Linked DNA regions of Saccharomyces cerevisiae S288C. Changing the gene in region 3 together with the main gene of any one other region gives a genetic interaction. Each region holds a gene or a part of one and is shown on either strand. Other genes may lie near its edges.

Region 1 (5,003 bases), on a different chromosome or scaffold from region 3:
TCATTCAGGTTTCCGGAACACCTACTCTAGTTGACCTATAGAAGATACAAGGCGTCTCTTTCAGGTAAGAAGATGCCTCTCAGATGTCTTTGACTTTTCTTTATTGTTCTAGGCAAAGTGTTCTTTATACCTGTATGTATGCATCAGCAGATTGACCGGTAACATGAAAGTCTGAAAAAATCCCTGTAATGTTGTTGTCAACACATGAAAAGTTCCGTATCTTCTTTATTGGAAATCGTTAGAAGCCCTGGTTTTGCTCCTAATGGCGATTTAGCATATGCTAATTAAATCTTAAGCAAAGAGTTGTTGAACGAACCCAGACGAAATCTGTTTCTGGTTGCGTGATTTTTCTTTAGGTAGAAACACTGGAATAATTCAAGCGGGTTTCCCAGGATATCTTATTTTCAAATGATCTTTTCTTTTCTGTGGGTGAGACTACATTTTTCAAAGAGAGCATGTCCATAGTGGCAACAAGTGTGAATACGGGAAGTGAAGAGGGATAATTTTTGAATGAGTAGAGCTTCAGTCAGTCGCTCATGCAGTTTTAGCGGAGACAGAAATTCTATCTACATGGATTTCTCTGATCAGCGATATGGGGTACGCCTTCATTATTTTCTTTTAGCTAAGTCTATCATATATAAGCAACTATTCAATGGTCAAATTAACTTCAATCTCTGTCGCCGCATCCCCGATTACTATCACTTTATCTCCGTCAGATGAGAAAGGTTTACCTTTGCTGAGTTAGGTGATTACGCCCCGATATCAGGGCTCACTACATGGAAAACACTGCACCTCCATCTGAAACAGACCTCAGTTGAAGTTGTGGGAGCCGTTTTCAATCATCTTGACCCGTAGTGCACCAAGTCAAGTTACGAGAATGGTAACTGTGACCCATGTACTCCGCTAGATTGACCAGCTATATCTAGCGCTTTATGAAAGTGCAGTATCTACACTGTGGTTCCAACATAGAGAGCATTGCTTTCACTAATTGATCCTCATATATTATAGAAAGCCGCGAAAAAAAGCTTAAGAAGAATATTTAATGGTATAAATAGTTGGAATTATGTATGTCTTTAATCTTATAGTTCTTTAACAAAGTACAATAGTCTTGTGTGCTGTAGTAACGAAAGCAGGTTTATAACTACTGTTAGTCCATTATACACAGTGAGCGTTCACTATGTATACCGTATGGATGTGCATAGGGATATCCTACATCAAAGTTTTTTCTAGTTTGAATGTGTTCCAAATCGTCATAAGTACCTAAAGCTTTTCTGTCTTGACTAGTGAACCTTCGGCGTATAGTTGGTCTAATGTATCTTTGAAGAATTTTGATGCTTTGGCACGCTTTATTTTAAAAGTTGGCGTCACAACATCATCCTCGAGAGTTAAAGGCTCAAGTCCGACTTTGATGTTATGCAATTTTTCGAATCCTTGTAGCCCATCGGTGCATTTATTAATTTTGTTTAAAAATTCCTTCCTTAGCTTTTTATTACGATTTAAGTTTTCTACTAGCACTTCCTTAGTCCACGTTTTCACCTCTGGGTGCTTTGCAGCTAAAATCGGTTGCGCTGCATCAACATCAACACCAACGATGCCAACTAAAAATGTCTTTAAAGGATCTCCAAAGACAAATATTTGCGTGATATAGGGGCATGATGATAAATAAATATTTTCGATTTTCTCTGGAGCAATATATTCACCATGTGCTAGCTTGAAAAAGTTCTTGACTCGATCAATGACGCTGATGCGACCTTTTCCATCGATAAATGCAACATCTCCCGTGGAAAACCAACCATCTTGGTCAACGGCTTTTGAAGTTTCATTCGGATTTTTAAAATATCTTTCAAAAACCTGTGGGCCACGAATTTGCAGTTCACCTTTTAAATCCTTGTCGGCATGGTAACCCATTTCTGGAACAGACTTCAATCTACATTCTGCAGAAATACCTATGGCACCACAAGATCCGACATCTTTTTCAAACGGTTCGCTTAAACAGACACCAGCAAAAGTTTCAGTTAAGCCGTAGCCCTGTCTTATACCAATATCCAAGGCACTTCTTAAAAATAGTAAGGTATCTTTAGATATGGGAGCTGATCCGGTAATTATAAACGAGTTATTGGACAAACCTAAAGAGTCTCTGATTTTATCAATCAATACGCGATGATAAACTAGAAAATTCATAATCGATTTATCTGGACCACCTCTTGCGGTAAATCTGGCCGATTTAGAATCCAATATAGTATTTGCTACGTTCCTCTGGACAGTCGATTTATCCAAAGCGTTTTTTATACCGGCTTCAAACCGTGTTAATATTCTAGGAACCAGGGCAACCGCGTAAGGTTTCAAAATCTTCAAATCCTCTACCAATACAGTTGGGTCTGGTTTATGTAAGAAGCCTATTCCAAACCCGATGGCTAGATCATACGCAATAACCATTCTTTCAAAAATATGAGCCAATGGCAAAAAACACATATCATATAACTGTTGGTTTCTTTTATCTGGCGGTATTCTGAAGGTAGAAAAAGCAAATGCTATCCCAGACGCAATGTTTCTGTGAGACATTTCCACACCTTTAGGTAAACCTGTAGTACCAGAAGTAAACGAAATAGTATACAAGGAATCTGGGGTAGGTGGAATTGCAGGAATTTTGTTAAAGCAACCAACTTGTTCTACCTGCTCCAATGAAAAAAATGTGATTTTTTCATTGAGAGAGTTGCACTTAACGGGTAGCAACGATTCATTTAGCATACGGAGCTCGTCATGAGTTAATTCATCCATACAAACCAAAGTATTAACAAATTTCATATCAGGCACCATCTTCAATACATGATACATATTTGATTTTGCAAAAATCAGAATGGGGGCCTCGGTTAAATTCAATATGTACTCGGAGGTGTTTGGACCTAATGTTTCGTACAAAGCCGTGTTAGTTAGAGAATAGGCCTGACAGGCCAAATCTGTTAGGATCCATTCAGGGTTGTTGTGTGATAAGATAGCAACAACAAAATCATTGGCTTCCAAAGGACGTTTCCTTTTCGTGTTTACCAAAGACAATATACCACTTCCGATATTATGACATCTTTTAGATACCGTGGAGTACGACTCGAAACGGAATGTTTCCTCCCAGGTGCCTGTGGCTTTATCAATTGGCCTTGAACCTAAACAGTCACGTTGAGGCCATCTCCTTGCAGAAAACATGAAGTGATCGTATGCAGTTCTTAAGTTTTTATCCACACAGCTCACTAGATTTTCAGAAGAAAGAGAACTCCTATAAATCGAGCTAAAACCAGCTTCATTATCCGGATTCGAAATGGCAACCGCCTGTTTCTTTAAAAATGTTTTGTACCTGGGATAGCTGGTCAGTGGTAATTGAGAGTATAGCTCTTCAATATATTCATCAGAGCCTTTGGTGTAACCGGCTAATCTTGTCTTCAAACTTTCGAAACGAGGATCCGATTCAATTAAATCGGTAAGTGCATAATCTGGAGCGGCCATATTTCGAAACAAGTTTGTTCTTATCCGTTTTTTGTAACCTGCATTCTTCCACTTCCCTTAGCCATGCGTTTCCGATGCTTTATATAGTTCCAACCCATCATCGCTCAACTCCGCAATTAATATTGAGTTCCCTCGTTTTGACTCCAACCCATCATCGGCGGCTCGGCGTTAAAGACTGACGGTCCGGAGGATGTTCTGAAAAATTTGGTTAATATAAATAAATTGTGTCTTTTGATACTAACTACTTTTTCTTATTAGCTGATAACTGCCTCAATTGTCAAAAGAAGTAGTTTGCGTAAAGCTAACCATATATATACGTACTTATTTGCTTAGCTGTAAGGCGTCGTTAAAGCCGTCTACAATAACGTCAGGGACACCGGGACTTCTAGAAAATCCCATTCCCCCCACAGAAACTGTTTGGCCGTAAGATTCTTGCAACTTCCTTTCAGCTCTTTCTTGCCATGCGTCATAACCTACATGAAATCTTGGCAGACATCTATCGGCGATAGTGAATTCCCACTGACCAGCTTCCAGATCCTTGTTACTGATGCCGAGGTGGTTGTTCAGCGCATCTTTGACTGCATTAATGGTTACCTCCCTGGATGGCACTACAGGAACACCGTGTTCATTGAGCATACAACCTCCTATCATCGCAGTCACTTTTGTATATTTGTTGAGGGCGTTTGGGTTTGTGGAGAGTTTGTCAAAAAGTGGTTTGAAATTCCTTTCGATAACAGAATCGAAAATTACACCAAGCAATTTCCCTGGATTCTTATTGGATTTGGGAACCAAGTATCCAAAGCCTTGTAGATCGGCATCTATTACATCTTTGTTTGGCAAATAATAATTAACTAAAATTATTGTGTTTGATTGTATCTCATCTAATAACTTGGATAATGAATTTTGATCCTTCGGTAGCAATTTAGCGATTTTGGGAGGTGTTATCGTAAGTCTTAAATGGTCAAATGTTTCGTATTGGTCGCCAGATTTCGCTTTCAATCCGATTGTCGTTTCGTTAGCAGGGCGTTTCATTATTTGCGTAACCGGGTTCCCAGTAACTATTTTGACGTTTTTAAATTCGTTCAAAGCATTTCTGACTATCTTGGGAAACGTTTCTAGTCCCCCAGCAAGACCCAACATGGGATATTTCTTTAGCGTGTTGGATAAGTCTAATAACTTTGACCTGTCTTTTCCAAACGCATTTGAGTAGTCGTTAAGGCAGCCAGTTAAAGATTGGTGCAGGTTCTCAGTTTTTTTACTTCTTGACTTTCCGCGCATATTATCAATCATAGCTTGTGTGTTAGATCCGTGCTTTAGTTCATTGTAGTATATTTTCTTAAACGTTCTCTTGGCACTTAATAGGGAAACGTCATCCCCATAGATACCTCTTAGTAAGGCACTGATCATATTGTTTGATATGTAGTTATTCCCAAACCTTCTGTCACAAATGGATTCGACACTTTCGTCTTGGCCAGGATGTGGAGATTTTTTTCTGAACCATTCTCCCA
Region 2 (9,296 bases), on a different chromosome or scaffold from region 3:
GCGGTTGCTGCTTTATTGCCGCACTAATTTTAATTTCTATCCTTCGTGAATATTCTATCAGGATGAAATTAACGGAAAGACAAGCTATGACAAACGAGAAGTTAAAAGAATGGAAGGCAAGCGAATACGATACCGATTCTGCCGATGAAGATTGGGGTAAATTAAAAGAAAGAAAGACTAAATATGACCTTCTTTTAGGTCCGGGCATTAAAAAATACTTCCTAAGAATGGTATATCCAATGAAGGTCTAGTTCTTTTCGACGACCTGATTCATGTTATATACGCGATAGTTACGTCGCCTACTCATCATATCATTAGTACATAATATTCAATATCTCCGCTTCACCTAATTAAATTTCTTTATTATCAAAAAGACGTAAAGTTAACGCTGAAAAAGCATTCTTTACAGAAAACGACCTTTTTTTAACCTAATATATTTAGCACTGTAAAGATATTCCATGTATCCATATGTAATACACTTTGTGTTGCGGATCCAGGAAAAACAAAACGAAAAAAGAGTCTCTTTACTTGCAAATAAATCTGTAAATCATTTGCTACCATTACAACTTATACATTAAACCTGCGTGGAGGAAATTTATTATAAATGAAAAACGGGACGGGATCATTTCTTAACGGAGCGATTTGCTCAATAAGAAAAGCTCTTCATCGCCATCGTTCTTTAAATCTGCCCTAAAAATATACAGTCTGTCTTTAAAATTTTTATACTGGCTAACAATTTCCTTTAAATTCGTATTAAATTTTCCCAATAATCCGTTAGATGCTTCGTGATCATTGAGATTCATTTTAATGAAGATTTCGTATCCAATGTCGTTCAAATTACAATAAACTTTGACGAACTCGTAAACCGAATTTAAAAGTAAAACCAATGAAGTTGGGTATGGTTGCCCAGAATAATCACCAACGCTTATTTCACTTGTGTTAGTTGCAAAAAGCTTATGAGAAAGAATATTCGTCAAGAACGTGTTATGTACACTTTCTAATTCATCAATATTCAGCGTCTTTTCGATTGCGTGTTTTTGGGGTTTACTGCTTGAAGACTTTGTTAGTACTTCAGCTTTTGGGGTTAAAATCCCATTTAATTCTATGGTGCCATTATTTAATCTAATTAAGTCGAATTGGTTTTGGCTTTTATTCTCTGTGCGTTGCAGTTTCCGGGTCATTTCTTTAAAATTTTCCTCTATAATGCAGTTCAAATAATAAGATTCCATCTTCGAGTTGAATTGCTGGAATTGAGTTCTAAGTATACTGATTCTAGAAAGTTTATTGATAATATCACGGATGAGCGGGTTGTAACCTCTGATTTTCTTGAATGATCTGATTATATCATTACTCTTCAACATTTCCTTTTGATAGAAATAATTGTTCTTTTTAAATCTCCATAAAAAATTGAAAATTCGTAGATACTCTTTCCTGCCAAAAGGACGATTTACGTTTAATACTAAACTCAAAGGGGGGTAGAGGATGTAATCTAAAGTAAAAACATCCCAACCCACGGATCCATGTCCAAGATCGAGTACCCTCGCATCCAATCCATTAATGACAGAACTATTACGGGGACTATTCATTAAATGTCTTAAGGAAGAAAGCTGCACGGCTTCCTGTAAAACCCTTGTTAACTTATAATTTGGCAATGAATCCGATGGTGTCGCGAGAATATCATTGGCCTTTTCTATAAGAGCATCCATAAAATCAGATTTACCCATGAGAAGAATATTCTTTAACGCAAATACCACGTCTCTGTAATGAAACTTCTGATTTAGAATTTGATTAGTATGATTAACAATTTCAGAATATTGATCATTTATAATTTCAAAAAAGTTCGTTGATATTCCCCGATAAGAATTGCTCTGGTACAGGACATGATACTTTTTAGAAAATTCGTTTGTCCATTGAACCTCTTTACAGTACTTTTCTAGGAAGATATACGATTTGCCGATCATGAATATTTTATATGCCAACTCTTTCGGTATGAAGGCCGGAACTCTTTCTTGGTTGAACTCTATAGGAATGTGGTAAATAAAATCATCGTCTGTACCATTTGTATCAGTGTTTTCAGCAATGAAGAATTCTCCATAAGTAGCTCGGAGTAGACCTTTAGTCAACCAATTCATTAAATACTCATAATAAAGAGAAATCATTGAATTAAACAAATTCGTTGCTATTTTTCTTATAGTAAGATCTCCGTGGGATTTGAAAATATTTAATTCAATCAAGAATGTATCTCCGCTCAATTCTTCAAGGTGTTCTGTAAACCTACAGTATATTCGAAGCCTTATTATATTTTCATATATTTCACGATATAACGATTTCAATGACACTACTGTCCCTGAAGAGACCAGATTGTTCACAAATGCTGTGTAGTTTTGTAATTCTTCTGAAATTTCTATAATCAATGCTTTTTTCATTGGAGATATATTCAACATCCTAAACTTCTCCACTTTATAACCCAAACTTTGATATAATAAACCCGCTTCAAATATTAAATGTAAAAGTCCACTCTCAAAATTGGGTATCTTAGACGGAATTTGTATTTGCTCATGATCAAACGGAAATAGTGCCGATGTCGTAGCTAATAATGTATATGATACGTATTTTAGGATATCTTCCTCGGGTATAGTGTTCACATAATAAGGATTTGACAACTGTCTCAAAGTAACAGAACTGTAGGTTGAAGAGGGAACGTAACGATTAGGCGAAGATACCATGGACCTTCTTTCAGAAAATCGGTCCATGTTTTCAAATGAAGCTTCTGTATATATACTTGGAGCCCGCACTGGGCTAAGTAAATGTTCATGGTTAGCAAGGTTCTCCATATTGAGCCCAGATGATTTTTGGACAATTTTTGCTCTGTAATTTGATGGAAGCAAAGATTGAAAGACAGAGAGGTACTTTACCATATCATCGGTGTTCTGGATTCCAAATAAAGCATCGAGAAATTTCTCAATTTTATGCCACATAATTGTTGTTTCAGGCGAATCTAGTGATTGTAATTTGTAAAAATCAATTAAAGGGCCTAATTGAGTTGCCGATTTGGTGGATGATCGCAGTAAATTGACTACATCAGATACAAATGTCTGCAAATGACTCTGCGACAATAATTGAGGAGCCAATGCCTCTATTATACCAAAAAGAGTGGGCTCTAGTTCCATATTGATTTTTCAGCTACAACTGAAATAGACTGTAATATATATTATGGTTATGCTTAGTATTCTGGCTCTTCTATTTCTTATATGCAGATGAAGCCATCAAATGAGTATATTTGTTTGTTTTGTTTAGTTTTGTTTACAAACGCGACGCATCAAAAATCGTTACCCGTATATATTATGATAATAGAAATCCAACAACGGTTGTCCTAGTATCCCACTTGTGATATGAAGATCCAATCATCACCATTGCGCGATCAAATAAACACTATTTAAGGGGTTTTCATGCTCCTCCATTGAAAACTATATAAACATAGGGAGGGATAGGAGATTGTTAATGACAATAACATCGCGCCCCGAGCCTCGGTATCCGTAAGTAGAGATTTAAATATTCAAATACTCGGATTCCTTGTTTAACAGATCTTGGCTGGAACTATTACGGTGTCCATATCCAAGGTCCTCCATAGATATTTCATAGTGTTGAAAATTGTAAAATTGAAGCAAGGCCCGGAGTGCAATTTCTTGACCACAAGCATCGCTCAACTCTCCTGATATATCCTTCCCTGTTACCCAATTATCAGTTAACTCCAGCTTTTCATAAAGGTAAACCCCCGATATCAATTCCATATGCTCGGATTTCCACCTCTTGTTTTTGAATGGTGTGAGTTCTCTTGTTATTTTCAATATTGGATGATACATGTCAAGGTTGAAGAGCCGATAATAGCGTTTAAATAGAATGCCGATGGAGAGGGGCAGCTCCTTTAACCTTTGTGTTTTATTCCCTGTGACTTTTCTCAAGATTCTTAACAGATATGCAAACGAAGGCATAATCTCCGTGTCGACCTCTCCTGAGTCATCTACTGAATAGGATTCACGATAAGACTCGTTAGAGAGAGAACACTCCTTCCAAAATGAATTCGGGGTTTGTACATATTTATTGAAAACCCTCTCTGGATAAACCTCAGAATATTTGCTTAAAATAGATGCGCATGTGTTGATGTATCGCGAATCGTGAATAACTACCGCCAAGTGTTCAAATTTCAAAATATGGCTTAACTTAAACCACTTCAATAACGCATGTAATATGCCCGCTGCTGACTTTAGGGACAATTCCTTAGCTCTCACGATCTCCAATTGGGGTGTCAGCATATTTAGAAGATTTTTATCGGAGACTTCACTTTTCCTATGAAAGTTATTTGTCAAGCTTGATTCCATTGTTTGCAGTAAGACAAAAACAAGAGAGTTAAAGCTCGAAAGGCAGCTCTTATAATATTTGTCAATTCGCTGCATAATGCAAATCGCACTTTTTTCCTCTTTTGAAGAGTTTGCATCATGATTAAGCGCGGCATAATCATATGGCTCATTTTCTAATTGCTGTTTCCAACCACGTTCAGTTATCATGAATAAGTCCCTTTCGTACCAAAGTTGTTTTGTACTCAGCTTAATTTCTAAACTCTCGCTTAATATTCTCGCTGCCTCTTCGGTACTGAATGGAATAACTATATCGTTATCAGGTTTTCTCTCTATATTTAAATCTATCCTATCTTCCAGAGTGTCATCTTCAGATCCTTCATTATCAGATGGATACAAACACGGATATGCCATGTTTGTTTGGAAAGATTTACGAGGTCTAGGACCTTCACCTAAATGCATTAATTGTGGAGAGCTTGGCGGTGAAGGAGCAGGTGTAGCAATATGTTTTTCAGGAACAATGAGCGCCATATTTAGAGGATTCTTTGATTTTGGACGAGGAATTTCCAGAAACTGGGAAAGAGATTCTGATTTGTCAACATCTTTAGGTAAGCCAGAACTGGGCATATTGTAATCAGGAAAACGGGAAGTAATGTCCTCCCTGAATGCTTGATAATGTAATGGGGAGATAGAAAGCTTTTCTGGATGCTTTGATGGATATGTTAAGCCATGGAGATTATAAATAGATGATTTGGTCTGTTTGTAGACAGAACTGTCACCAAATTGTAATACAATAAGCTTGAAGAGCAAAGAAATCATATTTCTTATGCGCATAGCTAATCTGCTATTCCACCTCCAATTTTCAATATACTTTGTTAAAAATTCCAACAAATCTGTTTTCTCAAAAGCGTCGATAACAACATTTACTGCTTCCGGATTTTCTCCTCTACCTTCTATACAAATACTGCATATGAAGTATAGGATTGTTGACGAATGAAATAGCAAAATTGTTTGTTTCTTTAAATTTCTGTTGTCATCCCTACAACTTATTGCAATCTTCTTGAAGGCATGAACAATTTCTTGAATATGAGGAACAAGCATTAAATTGTTGCGTCGTATAATCTTTGTATGCTCACTTTTGCTATTCGTAAACGCAAAGCATCCCATAGAAATATATGATAATGCGAGTAAATTAGATGCTAAAGAATTGGGGATGTCTTCAATTAAACATTCAACTACGCTCGCAGCATAGTTTTCATCATCAAAGAATAATTGTGGTTGCGTAATTTTCTGTTTAAACAGAGTCTGTGTCTGTCCAAAATGCATATAATCAGAGCTGCAAAACCATTCCGACAGTTCATCTTCCAAAGAATAAAACATCTTCAATTCCCAGTCCACTGCTCTTTGTAAAGCATAAGGTGCACTTGATCTTTCCTCAAGTGAAGCTGCGCACTGGTCAAGTGATTTCTGAAATTCTTTATCTACCGGCATATTATAATCAACTTCGCCCTTTTCATTGATAGGAACATGCTTGCCATCAGAAACCTTATTCAAATCAAAGCCATCCAGTTCATCTACATTAGCAAATGATTCATCCTCATTCTCCTCTTCAGCTTCTTCAGCATCGTCTTGAAATTCAACGGCGTTATCAGTATTATTATCTTTCTCATTATTTCTATCCTTATTAACGCCATCATCACTGAACTTAAAATTATCATTTTCATCACTACTATCTTGCTGTATATCTATGGTACGAATATCTCCCTCAAGACCTGATCTTGCCTTGAAGGTTAAGGCACTGATATTTCCATCTGATTTATTTCTTTTATCGGCATGAAAACTGTTTCTTCCCATGTTCAGTTTACCGCGCAACATGTTGTCCAAATCTTTTAGCAGTTCTTCGTTGCTCAATGTTCCGACCTGTGGTTCTTTATGTGAAGTGACTTCATCTTTGTACTTTAGATTGCCTTTGAAACTAGAGTTTCTCTTAAGATCTTCTAAAGACACAGACCTTATAATGGGGCCTTTGGAATGAGATCTTCCACTAGCATTCATTTTAGCGAGGCTTATAAATGAAAATTTGTCACTTAACCTTCTTCTTCGGCTATAAATACTAATAAAATTTCTCTACAATGCCTTTCAACCTACTCCTTGGTTCTCATATATTTCTTCCTGTTTCTAGAATGGCGTTTTGATTCATATAATTGACCGCTCCAAAAAATACCTGCCAGTAAATTAAAGTACCATACAAGAATATTGAAGAAAAGGAAAAGAATACATAATATAGAAAAAAGCCTACCAAAACAAACCAATTCACAATAAATATAACACTTTTAACTAAGTTTAACGAATGAATGGATTTGACGAAATGCATAAACCTATATAATTTCCCATTCCAATTTCAGTGCCTGAAATAATTTCAAGCCGTGAGTGCTGAGCTCCCCAAAACCGTCCAGCTCTTGCCAGCTTATGGTTGTCCCAAGCATTTCGTCTCTCTTTAACCTCTCTACTTGAAAGTAATCTGGCGAAGAATCGTCTTTAATTATGTGCATCAAAGTCTCAAGGTATATATTCAGCCAACAGCTGGCGCATGAAGTCCAAGATATTATGCTACTGGCGGCTTTGGACTTGCTGGTCCCCAGGGTAAATTCTATACGACAATCATTTTCCAGTGTTAAGTAGTCCCTACCAAAAATGAAGGTCATATTACCACCGCATTCATGCGCCATGATATCTGAATATACTACTTTTCGGGTTAGGAGGGCATTTCTATCATCGTTGTAGTGTTGAATCTTAGTAGTTACAATAGCAGACTCGGAAGTGATTAAGCTTGATGGGCGGAGGAACGTCATTTTAGCAAGCCTGAATTTAAATTTGAATTTTACCGCCTCATTAGAAATTCCTTCTTGGGCTGCTTTTTCATGGGTAATAAAAAACTCATGGTACCTTAAGTATCTTAATTGAGAGGGTATGGTGACGCCATTCGTCATACCATACTTGAATCTAGCCTGCATGAATATCAATCTTGCTTCTCCAAGAGGACACTGCAAGTATTTCATGAGGTATGCTACTGTTATCATACCAGATCGGCCTTTCCCCATTCGACAATGTAAAACAGCCACTCTATTCTTCGAAACGGACAGGTAATTTTCTATACCATCTACAATCTCTTCCAGCAGTTCAAATGGCGGTGGAAAATGATCTAGCCAACCGATCCTTTCACAAATTACATTATTGGTTTCTTCTTCGACCAAGGTCCTTGTTTCGAGATCAATGGGTGATATTGGTATCTTTCCATCATTAATCAGCGTCGAACGTAATTCTTGAATTTCAAAATCTTTGCTCTCAAACTTGGCAGCGATACCAATAAGATCATTATCTTTATAATCGCTGTCTTCTTTCTCACCTCTAAAATTAAAAATTCTAAAATTTCCCTTGCCATGGTACACTGTTAGAAACAATATTAAGTCATCCAAGCTATTCCTATAAAGCAGTTTTGGATACGTGTTTACCGGGTATGAGCAGACTATTAGATTAACTAAAATATATGATATATCTAATCTCAAACCTATATCGTTTTTAGTTTTTTTCATTGGTAAAGACAATATTTTCTTCATCAAGTTGACTGGTTTCCATTTAAGGAAGCCTTTTTCCATTTCTAATTCACTCCCCTCCTCTCTCATTTACACCAAAAAAATAATTTCAAAAATCGGGATGGTGTTATCAATATTGTGGTTCTGAAATTGTCTTATTTAAGTTATCTATCGAGGTACACATTCTTATTTTTATTGTTTTTACTTTTTTTTTTTTATACTTCTCATCGATTTTGTGGCGCTTTCCTAATCCTTACAAAGCTTTAGAATCTCTTGGCACACCCAGCTTAAAGGTTTCGCAATTGGAGTGTCATCATCATTTATGAACTCTTTTATATTCTTTGACTTCCTTGGGTCTAGTAAACCTTCTACGTCTCCATTAACAAATAACTGCGCATGATTTGCACGATAAGATTCATACACAAATTCGTCGAAATAATACGGCGGATCCACCCAGAAAGAATCCAAAGTCTGGTATCCTTTTCTGGAAGCCCTCCTTTTTTTTAGTACTTCATAGGGAGCACGCACTAATATCTTCAAATCAAATTTTTTTGATATTCCAGTATTATTGAAAATCATAAACCCATCTACAATTACAACTTCATATTTGTCGTCATTAATAGAGTCATACTTAGCCTTTAACTCGTCCCAAACTTGTCTATCAATGTGGAACTTTGTAAAGGGATCATCTACGTTGTTATTGTGTATAAGTTTGGTGGCTATTTTACCAGTTTGTTTGATCACATCTAATTCTTTACCGAAAAGTTTAAAATCAAGAGCTTCTGGCGAATCCCAATTTTGAATGTTATATTTAGCATCTACTGGCACTTCATTATCATGTTTGTAAAAGTCATCTTCATGAATTAATGTAGCCTTCGTGAATAAACTTGCTGTAAGTTTCGCAATTGTCGTCTTACCACTGGAGGAGCATCCACTCAATGCAACTAATATCACTTTTTTCGAAGTCATATTTTGAGGTTCTACTCTAGCTCACACTTCGATAGCTTTTGCACGCTATTTTTTCCCTTACTCTGATAAACTATCGGAACAGCCTAAAATGCAAGTTGGTTTTGTTTCTCAGACCAACTGCCGTTCCTTTCCTGCGTGTATTGTTTTTCTGTTTCAAATGAGTCAACGGCAACGATCGTTCAATGCAAATCTTCGAGTATTTAAAAGCAAATGTAAGAAAATTTATATAGGTTAAAGTTATTGTTTACATTTTGACTCCATCTTCTTATCTGACGATAACTTCAGAAATCTTTTTATGTCAGATATATACTCAGGTGCTAATGCGAATTGCCCGAATAGTGAAGCATTTGCATGTCATACAACATCTCGCTGATTTACC
Region 3 (5,940 bases):
ACTTTTTTGAGAATTCACTTGGTTATGGGCGATTCGTTGCCACCAACTATCATTCCCATCGCATCTAGCAAAACGCAAGCGGAAAAGTTTTGGTTTCACCAATGGAAACAAGTTTGCTTCATACTGAATGGTTCCTCAAAAGCTATTATGTCTTTATCGGTCAACGAAGCTCGAAAATTTTGGGGCAGTGTTATTACGAGAAATTTCCAAGATTTCATTGAAATATCTAACAAGATAAGTTCATCAAGACCGCGACATATACCGCTCATCATTCAAACCTCAAGGACATCAGGAACTTTTCGAATATCACAACCAACTATCAGTATGACTGGAGTCAATCCTACGTTGAAGGATATTGAAGGCGATATTCTGGACGTAAAGGAAGGAATCAATGGTAATGATGTCATGGTTATTTGTCAAGGAATTGAAATTCCTTGGCATATGCTCCTGTATGATTTGTATTCTAAATTGCGAAGTTTTGATGGCTTTTTGTACATAACTCTTGTTCCTATAAAAGGCGGCGATAAAGCTTCCTCTGAGCTCTAAGAGCTGTTATATACGCATTTAAAAGTGTCATTCAAATATCGCAGAAAATAACTTGGACGTTGAAAATAGGGCCACATTTATACGGCTGCAAGAAAACTTTTACTCTCTTTCTACCAAGTTTGTTACTGCAATTAAATAATCTTTATCATGGGATAGCGAAACTAAAAACTCATGAGTGGAAAAGAGAGAATCGTAGTTTTTCGAGAGCTGTTGATACTTTGGATACTTTTTTCCAAACATCTTATCAAACTCTAACTGAGGTACACCTGTATCGGTTTGTGTTTTATATAGCATTCCAGCGTACAGTACTTGGGCAGGAGGTAGATCATGCTTTGAAACACAGCAACACAACGCTTTCAATGAGCATTCCTTCAAAGCCCAAACTCCCGCTATATATTCATGCAATCGTGGAGTTAAGCAGTTTTCTTCGATGAGAAGATTACTGAAATGAAATCTTTCCTTTTCATGCATGAACTTCCGTGTTATTTTATTCAAGGTAGAACGGCCACATGGGTCGAATGGGGAATATTTCTCTAGTATATGTGCAAATCTTGGCAAGTATACAATGTCAACTCCCACTCCTGCTATCTTACGTCCAATATTCCTCGATGCAAAACTCATCACTGGAGGCATTCAAAGCTAGCACTTATGAAATAAACGTTCATTAGAAAGCAATACTCCTGATAAGAAAATAGTGCTTAGCTTCTATTCAGCCTTCTTAAAGAACTAGCTTTTCTATCAAAAGTCAGATCTCTTATGACCGCTTGAACCTGTGGAATGTATATAAGCAGTTTTGATGTTAAGATTTTTTTTTCAATAGAATTTCTTCCTTCGGAAATAATCCCGATTAAGAAATTATTCTTGACGCAATATTCAGCTATATGTTGATCGGGCTTAACCGCATAAGTTTCGTTACCCTTTTTTACCCCAATTTTTAATTTCGGCGGTTATTTTCAGCCCTTTTAGAGTCAAGATATATAAGAATGCTTCTCTAAGAAGTGAGACTAACAATGAAACCCGTTTCAGACAATCTGGAAGTCTTAGAACGCATAACACAGAAATGTCAACAACATTAGCAGCACCAGCGAAACTAAAGAGTTTGCTCCTGAATCTACATACTCACTGTATTGGGCTACACGTTAACGATGTCACACCTAAAGTATATTTCAAGTTATTGATACGGCATCTTCTACAGATATCTAGATCAAACGCTGCTCATCCTAAGCTAAGAAGAAGGGCCCAGATTTTATTGGTATCGCTTTTCCTATCTGGTGTCACACTTTTTTCTGGTGTAACATATAGTACTTTCAAAATTATTCTAAAATGTTATAAATTTTACAAGTTTCCATGGAAGAGAAGGAATAGGAGACCTTTAATAAGAAGAACAAGATCTCAAATGCAATTAGACAGTGGTGCAAGAATAATGTATATTCCTGAAGTGGAATTAGTCGACCGCCAGAGTCCCGATGACAACAAATTTATGAATGCTACAGATAAAAAAAAAAGGAAAAGGATATTTATTCCACCAAAGGATAACGATGTATATGAACACGATAAGTTTCTTTTTAAAAATGTAGAACTGGAAAGAGCCAAGAATTCGCAGTTATTCTACTCAAAATTTTTAAACCAAATGAACGTCTTGTCTAAAATTTTAATTCCAACAGTTTTTGACAAAAACTTTCTTCTTTTAACTGCTCAAATTTTTTTCCTGGTGATGAGAACTTGGCTCTCTTTGTTTGTAGCCAAGCTGGATGGACAAATAGTCAAAAATATAATTGCTGGTAGAGGAAGAAGCTTTCTGTGGGACTTAGGGTGTTGGTTTTTAATTGCTGTCCCTGCTTCTTATACTAATAGTGCTATTAAGCTACTTCAAAGGAAGTTGAGTTTAAACTTTAGGGTAAATTTGACACGTTACATCCATGACATGTATTTGGATAAAAGACTAACATTTTACAAATTAATTTTTGATGCAAAGGCGTCCAATTCGGTAATCAAGAATATCGACAACTCCATTACTAATGATGTTGCAAAATTTTGCGATGCGACATGCTCCGTTTTTGCAAACATTGCAAAGCCAGTTATTGATTTAATATTCTTTTCGGTTTATTTACGTGATAATTTGGGAACTGTGGGAGTAGCAGGTATATTTGTTAATTATTTCATTACTGGGTTTATTTTGAGGAAATACACGCCACCATTAGGTAAATTGGCAGGCGAGAGATCTGCTTCAGACGGCGATTACTACAATTATCATCTAAACATGATAAATAATAGCGAAGAGATCGCATTTTACCAAGGAACAGCAGTGGAAAGGACGAAAGTTAAAGAGTTGTATGATGTGCTGATGGAAAAAATGCTGCTGGTTGATAAAGTCAAGTTTGGTTACAATATGTTGGAAGACTATGTTTTAAAATATACATGGTCCGGTTTGGGTTATGTTTTTGCCTCAATCCCTATCGTTATGTCTACCTTAGCGACAGGCATCAATTCAGAGGAAAAAAATATGAAGGAATTTATAGTCAACAAAAGGTTGATGTTGTCGCTTGCAGATGCAGGCTCGAGATTGATGCATTCGATAAAGGACATCTCACAATTGACCGGCTACACTAATAGGATATTTACTCTGCTTTCCGTCTTACACAGGGTTCACTCTCTGAACTTTAATTACGGCGCTGTTCCTTCAATCCTGTCAATACGTACAGAAGACGCTTCCAGAAATTCCAACTTATTACCCACCACGGATAATTCGCAAGATGCTATTCGTGGTACTATTCAACGCAATTTTAACGGTATTCGGTTAGAAAATATAGACGTAATCATTCCATCAGTAAGGGCGAGCGAAGGCATAAAGCTGATTAACAAGCTTACATTTCAAATTCCTTTGCATATTGACCCAATAACTTCAAAGTCCAATTCTATACAAGACTTATCGAAGGCAAATGATATAAAGTTACCATTTTTGCAGGGTTCTGGCTCCAGCCTGTTAATATTAGGGCCAAATGGTTGCGGTAAAAGTTCAATTCAACGCATTATAGCTGAAATATGGCCAGTGTATAACAAAAATGGATTATTGTCGATTCCTTCAGAAAATAATATTTTTTTTATTCCTCAGAAACCATATTTTAGTAGAGGTGGAACTTTAAGAGACCAAATTATATACCCCATGTCCTCGGATGAATTCTTTGATAGGGGGTTTAGAGATAAGGAGCTAGTACAGATATTAGTCGAAGTGAAACTAGATTATCTTTTAAAAAGAGGCGTTGGCTTAACTTACCTAGATGCCATTGCCGATTGGAAGGACTTATTAAGTGGTGGTGAAAAGCAAAGAGTAAATTTTGCTAGAATCATGTTTCATAAACCACTATACGTAGTATTAGATGAGGCTACAAACGCAATTAGTGTTGACATGGAAGACTATCTGTTCAATCTTTTAAAACGATACAGATTCAATTTCATTTCCATATCACAAAGACCCACATTAATCAAATATCATGAAATGTTACTAGAGATCGGTGAAAATCGAGATGGCAAATGGCAATTACAGGCAGTTGGTACCGATGAAGCAATCACGTCGATTGACAACGAGATTGAGGAATTGGAGAGAAAACTAGAAAGAGTAAAAGGTTGGGAAGATGAGAGGACGAAGCTACGGGAAAAGCTTGAAATTATTTGAAAACACCCTAGAAAGGGAGAGATTTTATTTAGCGAATATAATTTATATATTATTTCCGTAACTGAATTTGTACTTTTGAATGTTTAACTGATATCTAGAGATATCGACATGGGAATGCCCTCTCAAACTAGAAAAGGGCAGAGAACGAAAAGAAAATGAAACAATTTGTTACCTACTATACAGTTGTTGGTCTTGCCAACACAAATATGAACATATATATATATATCTCACTTGATGAATCCACGTATCAAGGACAACCTTTTCATGGAAACATATACTGTAAAACAAAAAACTCTATTTGAAGTCCTTATGTGTCCACTTTTCAGTGATTTTCTGCTTATACTTTCTACCTTTCCTAACGGGCACTCTTGTTTCGACCTTACCAGAACTTTGTAGTTTTCTCACAGTATCATATAGCAGATTTCCTTCAGGTTTCAGTTTTCTCAATGAGTCAGATAATTCGTCAGAAAATTTAATCTCCAATCTTTCATCAATCACAGAGTATTTCGTCCCTAACTTGTGTTTCTTATTTTTCTTGCTTTTTTTAACCTTGTTGCTATCTGACTCTATGGCTGAAAGTATCTCAGTCTCTTCAGAATTGATAACTTCTTCTAAATCTTTAACACGTTGTCTCAATTCTTTCAACTCTTGTTGCAATTTTACTTTCTCTTCATGTCTCTTTGCCTTGTTTCTTTGATATTTTGTTTTCTTTTTATTCTTCACAGGCTTATTTATTGATAGTTTTATTTCCTTATCAGATCCACTACATTGCGTACTTTCATTTTCATTTTCATTTTCTTCTTCTTCTTCTTCTTCTTCTTCGTTTGATGAAGACTCTTCCTCTTCATTGTCATCTAAAGTTTCCATTAAATGTCTAATTCTTTCTTTGTACTTTTCCAAGGCGATTCTTTCATCTTCTCTTGCCTTTTCCTCTTTATACTCTTTGTTTATCAATTCTGACCAAGCTTTATTGTTGGGATTGTAGGATTTACCAGCATGTGGAATTTCTGTGAATTCTTTTACTGCAATTGGCTCTATATCTAAAGTACTTGGTCTGACTGAAGCAGTAGACCAACTTGTCGTGGATTTTTTCAATAGTTCTTCAGGTATCTGGTCCTTTTTTTCCACATCAAGTTTGATACCGGAAGGTAATTTGACCTTCTGTTTCTTTGAATTGGATTCTTCACCCCATAAGTCGCCAGCCGTTGTTTTAACTAGACCGTCTTTGGCAACTCTATTCTTGATCTTCGATTCGCCGTGTACTCTGCCAGCCAAAGCCATTAATTTCTTTAATTCGTGTTTAGAAACACCTTGAATCTTATTAGGATTTCCACTACTATTCTTATGGTGATTTAGTGCTGCAATTTTTGAATTCGTTTTAACGGCGTCTAAAATCTCTTTACTTTTTAGAACCTTCTTAATTTGTTTCCTTTTAATTAATTTATTTTTCAATATCTCATCACCCTCAACATCAACATGAAAAAGAGCATCATTTTGCAAAGAGGTTATATCACTGGTACCATGCGTAATTTCATGATCAATTTTCTTTTCCATATATTGTTCTACGTCAGATAAATCGATATTTTTTCTCCATGCTTTCTTACCCTTTCTTGAAGACTGTTTGTATTGAGATGGTTTCTTGGTTAGATTAGTTGGAGCCATTTTTAAATAAATGATTCATTAACGTGAGGATGGTATGGATCACAAGAAAGCCGAACTAA
Region 4 (7,317 bases), on a different chromosome or scaffold from region 3:
GTCACAAAGTGGCGTATGGCAAATGGTAGAAATTCCCAACAGTGAAGAGATCTTTGAAGCCGATATCATTTTGTTGTCTATGGGTTTCGTGGGTCCTGAATTGATCAATGGCAACGATAACGAAGTTAAGAAGACAAGACGTGGTACGATTGCCACACTCGACGACTCCTCATACTCTATTGATGGAGGAAAGACTTTTGCATGTGGTGACTGTAGAAGAGGGCAATCTTTGATTGTCTGGGCCATCCAAGAAGGTAGAAAATGTGCTGCCTCTGTCGATAAGTTCCTAATGGACGGCACTACGTATCTACCAAGTAATGGTGGTATCGTTCAACGTGATTACAAACTATTGAAAGAATTAGCTAGTCAAGTCTAAAAAGCTTGAGTTATTATTTATTTTATGATCGTATATTATTTATTTATTTATTTATTTATTTATTTATTTATTTATTTATTTATTTATTTTATTTAGTTTATTAATTTTGCTGATGAATGTTATTTCAATTAAACATAGTTTTCAAAGAACTGAAAAACCCTGATTTCTTCTTCTTCTTCTTCTTCTTCTCTTTACCATTGTCATCTTTCAAATTAAACTTATCTTCATCATCATCGTTTAAGTTATGGTTGATAGTGTTCCTGCTTGACTTTGGAGAAATTATGTTTCCAGCGCCACCTCTTCCAATAGCAAATTTTTCCGGTGCGCTTTTGCCCTTGAGCTTATTTTTAGGCTTCTTGGACGTGGACTTGATTGCCGCCAAAGCATTGCCATTGGAAGTCACCACAAACAGGTTGTCCTCGTTTGCATTGATAGTATCCTCATCCTCGATATTGCCGCCTCGTATCTCATCCTCTTCATTTCCACCATTGCTGGCCACCTTTTTTTTGTTGAAGAAAATGTTTCCTGCCCCACCTCTACCAACGACAATTGGGGCGTTGTTGTTCGGAGACGAAGTGGTGGCATGCAAAGACTGATGGCTCCTTGTAGCGCTGATACGAGACCTGGTGTTGGTCACCGGGTTTGACCCACCTTCATCCACCATATCCGAAGTTATAGGGGAAATATAATCGTCGATGTCATTGATCACGTCGTTATAGTTGATATTGTCGTTAGAGTCCAGTTGTTGGGCGGATCTCGTCAGGTGCGGATCATGAAAGATATTACCGGCACCACCTCTACCAATTGCAAAACGAGGAACCTTTTCCTGGTTGCTACCGTTATTATTGTTGTTTGCTACTGTCTTTGAATTGGATTTCAATGGAAGAAGTACGGGAGACGGCTTGGACATAGATTTATGGATGTTGCCAGCTCCGCCTCTGCCAGTGGAGACCTTGTACTCTTGTACACGTGCCTGGTTCTCCATCTCGTTTTGTGGGTTGAACGTAGCCATACTAACTTGGTCTTACGCTACTGCTGCTGCTAACGCTGCTGCTGCTTTTGCTCATATGCTTCCATTGACCGTCATTAGTATCAGCGTCAGCCTTTTTGACATAAGCCACCGCTCTGTCAGGGTAACCCTATGAAACATTTCAAAACGTTATAAAGGAACTCGTCTGGTTACAACAAGGAAATATCACTACAAACAGCTGTCCGTACGGCTCCTCAACTCTCTCAATGTTGTTCGCCTGGTCACACACAGCATAGTTTCGTCATTCGGCGCCGACGGTCGCTGTCTCTTGGAGCCTTCAAGCTCTTGTCAACCCAGGTCCGTTGTGCCGATAAAAGTAACAGCAGACCCCCACGCCCGCATCCCACTCTCTTCTCCGACCACCTCCCTCGAAGTTCTTCCCTGCCAATCCCACGTCGATCCAGCGTAGTTGGCCCCAACTGGTGCAGTAATAACCGCTTAGCGATTTTGCACTCGGAACTACATATGTATATATATATGTGTGTGTGTGTGTGGGCTGGAAAGATTTCTTGAGCTTCCGTGTTATAGTGCAATTTAAATATTGTACATCATTCCGATCCAGCTGGAAACAAAAGCAAGAACAATGTTGTGGAAGCGTACTTGCACAAGGCTAATAAAGCCTATTGCACAACCTAGAGGAAGGCTGGTGAGAAGATCATGCTACAGATACGCCTCAACAGGCACAGGCAGCACCGACAGCAGCAGCCAGTGGTTAAAATACTCTGTCATCGCCTCTTCAGCTACTCTATTCGGTTATTTGTTCGCTAAGAACCTCTATTCTAGGGAGACTAAGGAAGATTTGATAGAGAAGCTGGAAATGGTCAAAAAGATCGACCCAGTAAATTCTACGTTAAAGCTGTCCTCATTGGACTCACCAGACTATTTGCACGACCCGGTTAAGATCGATAAGGTTGTTGAGGACCTGAAGCAGGTGCTGGGAAACAAGCCTGAAAACTACTCTGATGCGAAATCCGATTTGGACGCCCATTCAGATACCTACTTCAACACGCATCACCCCTCTCCCGAGCAAAGACCTAGGATTATATTATTCCCTCATACTACCGAAGAAGTTTCCAAAATTTTGAAAATATGTCACGATAACAACATGCCAGTTGTACCCTTCTCGGGCGGAACGTCCTTGGAGGGGCACTTCCTGCCTACAAGAATTGGAGATACCATAACCGTAGACCTGTCCAAGTTTATGAATAACGTCGTAAAATTTGACAAGCTGGACCTGGACATCACCGTGCAGGCCGGTCTACCCTGGGAGGATTTGAATGACTATTTGAGCGACCACGGTTTGATGTTTGGCTGTGACCCTGGTCCAGGTGCACAGATTGGTGGTTGCATTGCTAATTCTTGTTCAGGAACCAACGCCTACCGTTACGGTACCATGAAGGAGAATATTATAAACATGACTATAGTGTTGCCGGACGGGACCATTGTCAAGACGAAGAAAAGACCCAGAAAGTCGAGCGCTGGCTATAACTTAAATGGTTTATTTGTGGGAAGTGAAGGTACCTTAGGTATTGTTACTGAAGCTACTGTCAAGTGTCATGTCAAGCCCAAAGCTGAAACTGTTGCGGTGGTATCCTTTGATACTATCAAGGATGCGGCCGCATGTGCTTCTAATCTGACTCAGAGTGGTATTCATTTGAACGCCATGGAGTTACTGGATGAAAATATGATGAAGTTGATCAACGCATCTGAATCCACGGACAGATGTGATTGGGTAGAGAAACCAACTATGTTTTTCAAGATTGGTGGGAGATCTCCCAACATTGTCAATGCTCTTGTGGATGAAGTTAAGGCTGTCGCCCAGTTAAATCACTGCAACAGTTTTCAGTTTGCTAAAGATGATGACGAAAAATTGGAATTATGGGAAGCTAGAAAGGTCGCGCTATGGTCTGTGCTAGACGCTGATAAGAGCAAAGACAAATCAGCTAAAATTTGGACAACTGATGTAGCTGTTCCTGTGTCGCAGTTCGACAAGGTTATTCACGAAACTAAAAAGGACATGCAAGCTAGTAAGCTGATCAACGCCATTGTTGGTCATGCAGGTGATGGTAACTTCCATGCATTCATCGTCTACAGAACCCCTGAAGAACACGAAACCTGTAGCCAACTTGTTGACAGAATGGTCAAGAGAGCACTGAACGCAGAAGGCACTTGCACGGGTGAACACGGTGTTGGTATTGGTAAAAGAGAGTACTTGCTCGAAGAATTAGGTGAAGCACCCGTCGATTTGATGAGAAAGATTAAGCTAGCTATTGACCCAAAGAGAATCATGAACCCGGACAAAATCTTTAAAACTGATCCAAACGAGCCCGCTAATGATTACAGGTGAGTATCTGATTTTCCTTTTTCACCCTTCACGTAAACCTGAAATATATTTCATGTAATATATATAGTTCATCCTTAAAGAAAACATACCATTTCAAAATGCCCTTTCCCAGTAGCTAATACATGCTTAAAAATGTGATATATATTATTACCATCAAATGTATTCATGATCCGGGTAGTGCCTTTTTTTCCTTCAAACACTAATGGGATGGGAAGAAACATTTCGAAAAAAGTTATGACTATTGGCAGCATCAGAGAGAATTAAACCTTACCTGTACAACGATAGCAGCTTACATCACTTCCTCGCAGTCATGGAAAAAAATACGGCACCATTTGTCGTCGATACGGCACCCACAACTCCTCCAGATAAACTTGTAGCACCTTCTATAGAGGAAGTAAATAGTAATCCCAACGAATTAAGAGCTCTTAGAGGGCAGGGTAGATATTTTGGCGTAAGCGATGATGACAAGGATGCCATTAAAGAGGCAGCACCTAAATGTAATAATTGCTCTCAAAGAGGTCATTTGAAGAAGGATTGTCCCCATATAATATGTTCGTACTGTGGGGCGACGGATGATCATTATTCTCGACATTGTCCGAAGGCTATCCAGTGTTCAAAGTGTGATGAGGTGGGTCATTACAGGTCACAATGTCCACATAAATGGAAAAAAGTTCAGTGCACTCTTTGTAAGAGTAAGAAACACTCAAAAGAAAGATGTCCTAGTATATGGAGAGCATATATTTTAGTAGATGATAATGAAAAGGCTAAGCCCAAGGTCCTTCCCTTTCATACTATATACTGTTATAACTGCGGTGGAAAGGGGCACTTTGGTGATGATTGCAAGGAAAAACGATCATCTAGAGTACCTAACGAGGATGGAAGTGCGTTCACTGGTTCTAATTTGTCAGTTGAGCTAAAACAGGAATATTACCGTCACATGAACAGAAATTCGGACGAAAATGAAGACTATCAATTTAGTGAGTCCATATACGATGAGGATCCACTACCGAGACCTTCCCATAAAAGACATTCCCAAAACGATCACTCTCATAGTGGCAGAAATAAACGTAGAGCATCGAACTTCCATCCTCCTCCTTATCAAAAGTCTAATGTCATTCAACCAACTATAAGGGGCGAGACGCTGTCACTCAATAATAATATTAGTAAAAATTCACGGTATCAAAATACAAAAGTAAACGTCTCGTCGATATCGGAGAATATGTATGGCTCCAGATATAACCCTTCTACTTATGTTGATAATAACAGCATTTCCAACTCTTCCAATTACAGAAACTACAATTCTTATCAACCATATAGGAGTGGTACCTTGGGGAAAAGAAGATAACTTTAAATAGGAAGCCCTTTAACAAGCTGTTCTTGGTTACATTATATTTTCTTAATGAAAGATTAAAGACAATACCTAATTCGACCATTAATCAAAATAGCATGTAAATTTCTTACATCTTCTTGTTGTGAAAAAAAAAGGCCTTCGTGCAATCACAGGTAATAATAATAACATATACATACATATACGTAAATACGTCTTATAACTCCTGCTACCTCATACGCTATTTTCTATTATGGCTAACATCTATGCAACTCAATTTAGTCTCTTTTTACCTTTTTCACAATGAATGTATAAAGGTCCTTTTCATCGTAATCTAACCTTCTTTTTTGTGCATTTAAACCGTCATAATCGATTAGAGCAAGTTTGTCGACAAACCGATCTTTTCTATTTAGCTTTAGTGAATCGCACAGTTTTATTCTTCCTAACCTGCAGTTTTTGAAAAATTCGCCTTTAAGAACAGTTATCTCTCCTGCCATTGATGTTACCACCAAGTGAAACGTAAGGGCGCAAACATTGTCTGTGCCTACGTCTATATCATTAATTATAACAATTGTATCATTAATCAATCCGAAATCATGGGGTATTATCCGAATAGTATCCTTGGAATTCCTTAACAAATTTTTGGTATTTTTTATTTCAAATCTATTTATCAACAAAACTCCATGTGTGTCCAATATAAAGCATAAAGAATCATCCAGCATAAATAATTTCTTGAATGAACATAAATTTCCCAATGCCTGCTTGAATTGAGCTGTCTCATCATCTATCACTTGGCCATCCACCTTCATTTGACTTTCTGCCCACTCTTCTTCATTAGTTCCATTTTCAGAGCCATTTTTGTTCGATAATGAATCGATTTTAATTATTGGTTCATCATAGTACCGAGGTCGGAATGCACTCAACGTGACGAAATGATCGATGCACACAATGTCCATCTTTTTGTAATTATCTGTTAGAAAAGAAGTCATTGTTTCATCACTTTCATCTGTAGTGTTATCATCTTCATTCACCCCATCATTTCCATTTCTATGAGAAATCTTTTCAACAATTTCAAAATCTACCATAAATGTATTCCTTCTTAATCCTCGGATAAAAGAATCTAATTCCCACTTCGTTGAACAGGGTACATCCATTCTTTCTCTAAAAGCGTCTCTAGTTAAGGCTTGAAAAGATTCTCTCCTTCTTCGACTCAGCGGTCTCGGTTCGCTGCTAGCAGTACTGAATGAAGAATTTCGGCGACTACTTCCCAGCATATCTTGAGTGTGGAATAACTCATATATGTCATCTTTAGCGTGACCTTGACGCTGTTTCCAGACGATTCCTGAATCCAGCATTCCTGTTCCAGAATATTTTACAATATCATCCCAAATGGTTGAATTTATAATATCCGTATCGAATGTAAACTTGTTACTAATCCAGCTGAACAAAGAACCAAATCCATTTTGTTGCGCTACGTTGTCCCACGAAAGTATCTCACCGCATGTATCTCCCTGTATACTGTTCTTTAGGCTGATAAAGGTGCTTAAAAATGTAACATAAGTCAATGGTAAAATTATTTTCCTTATAAATAGTGGTGATCGTGGCGATACTGTCATGAAACAAAACCGGTCTAATGGATTTATATGGAATGTGGAAATACCTCGTTCTATATGTAAATACATCGAAGGCCTATATATGGGCAGGCCTTGATACATATTGCAAAACGAAGATACCACGGGTGACGATCTTAAATGGGATGGTTCTATAGGCAAAAGGAAGTAGCAGATATGCTTAGAGCATGACCTTCCAGTGTACCGCGTACTACCTTCAAATAATTTTTCTTCTTCTGAAGAATGTGTTGTATTATTATCGTGATGTACTTTGAAAAAGCAATCTGGAAACATGGGGTTGTACATGTTCTTATACTGAATGTAATCAGTGGGAAGGTTCATTACAAAGACATATATTCGACCGGAGCACATACAACAATATAATAAACCTTGACTATATTCAAGACCAGCGATCATATAGTCACTAAAAAAATTGGATTCGAAATCTTCCGGAGTACATCTAAGGATATAAGAGGGCGCTAATCGCAGGCCATTTTTTATCTTGTATTGATAGTTGCTTATGATTTCAATGAATCCGTTGGATTTAGCCAGCACCATGTAATCACATGAGTCCAAAATATGCGTTGCGTCTGGAGATATTGACGTGTCTCTACCATTAGGCCTTAAATA

Evidence for each region.
Region 1: mutations in PXA1 (region 3) and FAA2 impair growth when combined (synthetic growth defect), as found in Saccharomyces cerevisiae (2 studies listed by BioGRID, with this or other methods).
Region 2: mutations in PXA1 (region 3) and FAR11 together harm fitness more than expected from each alone (negative genetic interaction), as found in Saccharomyces cerevisiae (2 studies listed by BioGRID).
Region 4: mutations in PXA1 (region 3) and PAR32 together harm fitness more than expected from each alone (negative genetic interaction), as found in Saccharomyces cerevisiae (2 studies listed by BioGRID).

Annotation. Positions count from the first base shown.
Region 1 is NC_001137.3:183,033-188,035, reverse strand, and holds FAA2 (medium-chain fatty acid-CoA ligase FAA2), read right to left. Parts: upstream 3,496-5,003; coding exon 1,261-3,495; downstream 1-1,260. Other genes in the region: BUD25 (Bud25p), read left to right, coding at 3,336-3,358, 3,867-4,305; HEM14 (oxygen-dependent protoporphyrinogen oxidase), read right to left, coding at 3,817-5,003.
Region 2 is NC_001146.8:381,101-390,396, reverse strand, and holds FAR11 (Far11p), read right to left. Parts: upstream 6,411-9,296; coding exon 3,549-6,410; downstream 1-3,548. Other genes in the region: ESBP6 (Esbp6p), read left to right, coding at 1-251; SPC98 (Spc98p), read right to left, coding at 630-3,170; TEP1 (putative phosphatidylinositol-3,4,5-trisphosphate 3-phosphatase), read right to left, coding at 6,734-8,038; NRK1 (ribosylnicotinamide kinase), read right to left, coding at 8,195-8,917; DGR1 (Dgr1p), read left to right, coding at 9,006-9,152. UniProt on the Saccharomyces cerevisiae protein: Participates in the control of the reentry into the cell cycle following pheromone treatment.
Region 3 is NC_001148.4:271,649-277,588, forward strand, and holds PXA1 (ATP-binding cassette long-chain fatty acid transporter PXA1), read left to right. Parts: upstream 1-1,606; coding exon 1,607-4,219; downstream 4,220-5,940. Other genes in the region: ATG5 (Atg5p), read left to right, coding at 1-546; PPT2 (holo-[acyl-carrier-protein] synthase), read right to left, coding at 646-1,167; NOP53 (Nop53p), read right to left, coding at 4,514-5,881.
Region 4 is NC_001136.10:142,262-149,578, reverse strand, and holds PAR32 (Par32p), read right to left. Parts: upstream 1,389-7,317; coding exon 501-1,388; downstream 1-500. Other genes in the region: GLT1 (glutamate synthase (NADH)), read left to right, coding at 1-376; DLD1 (D-lactate dehydrogenase), read left to right, coding at 1,990-3,753; AIR2 (TRAMP complex RNA-binding subunit), read left to right, coding at 4,061-5,095; GID12 (Gid12p), read right to left, coding at 5,356-7,317. UniProt on the Saccharomyces cerevisiae protein: Involved in resistance to cisplatin.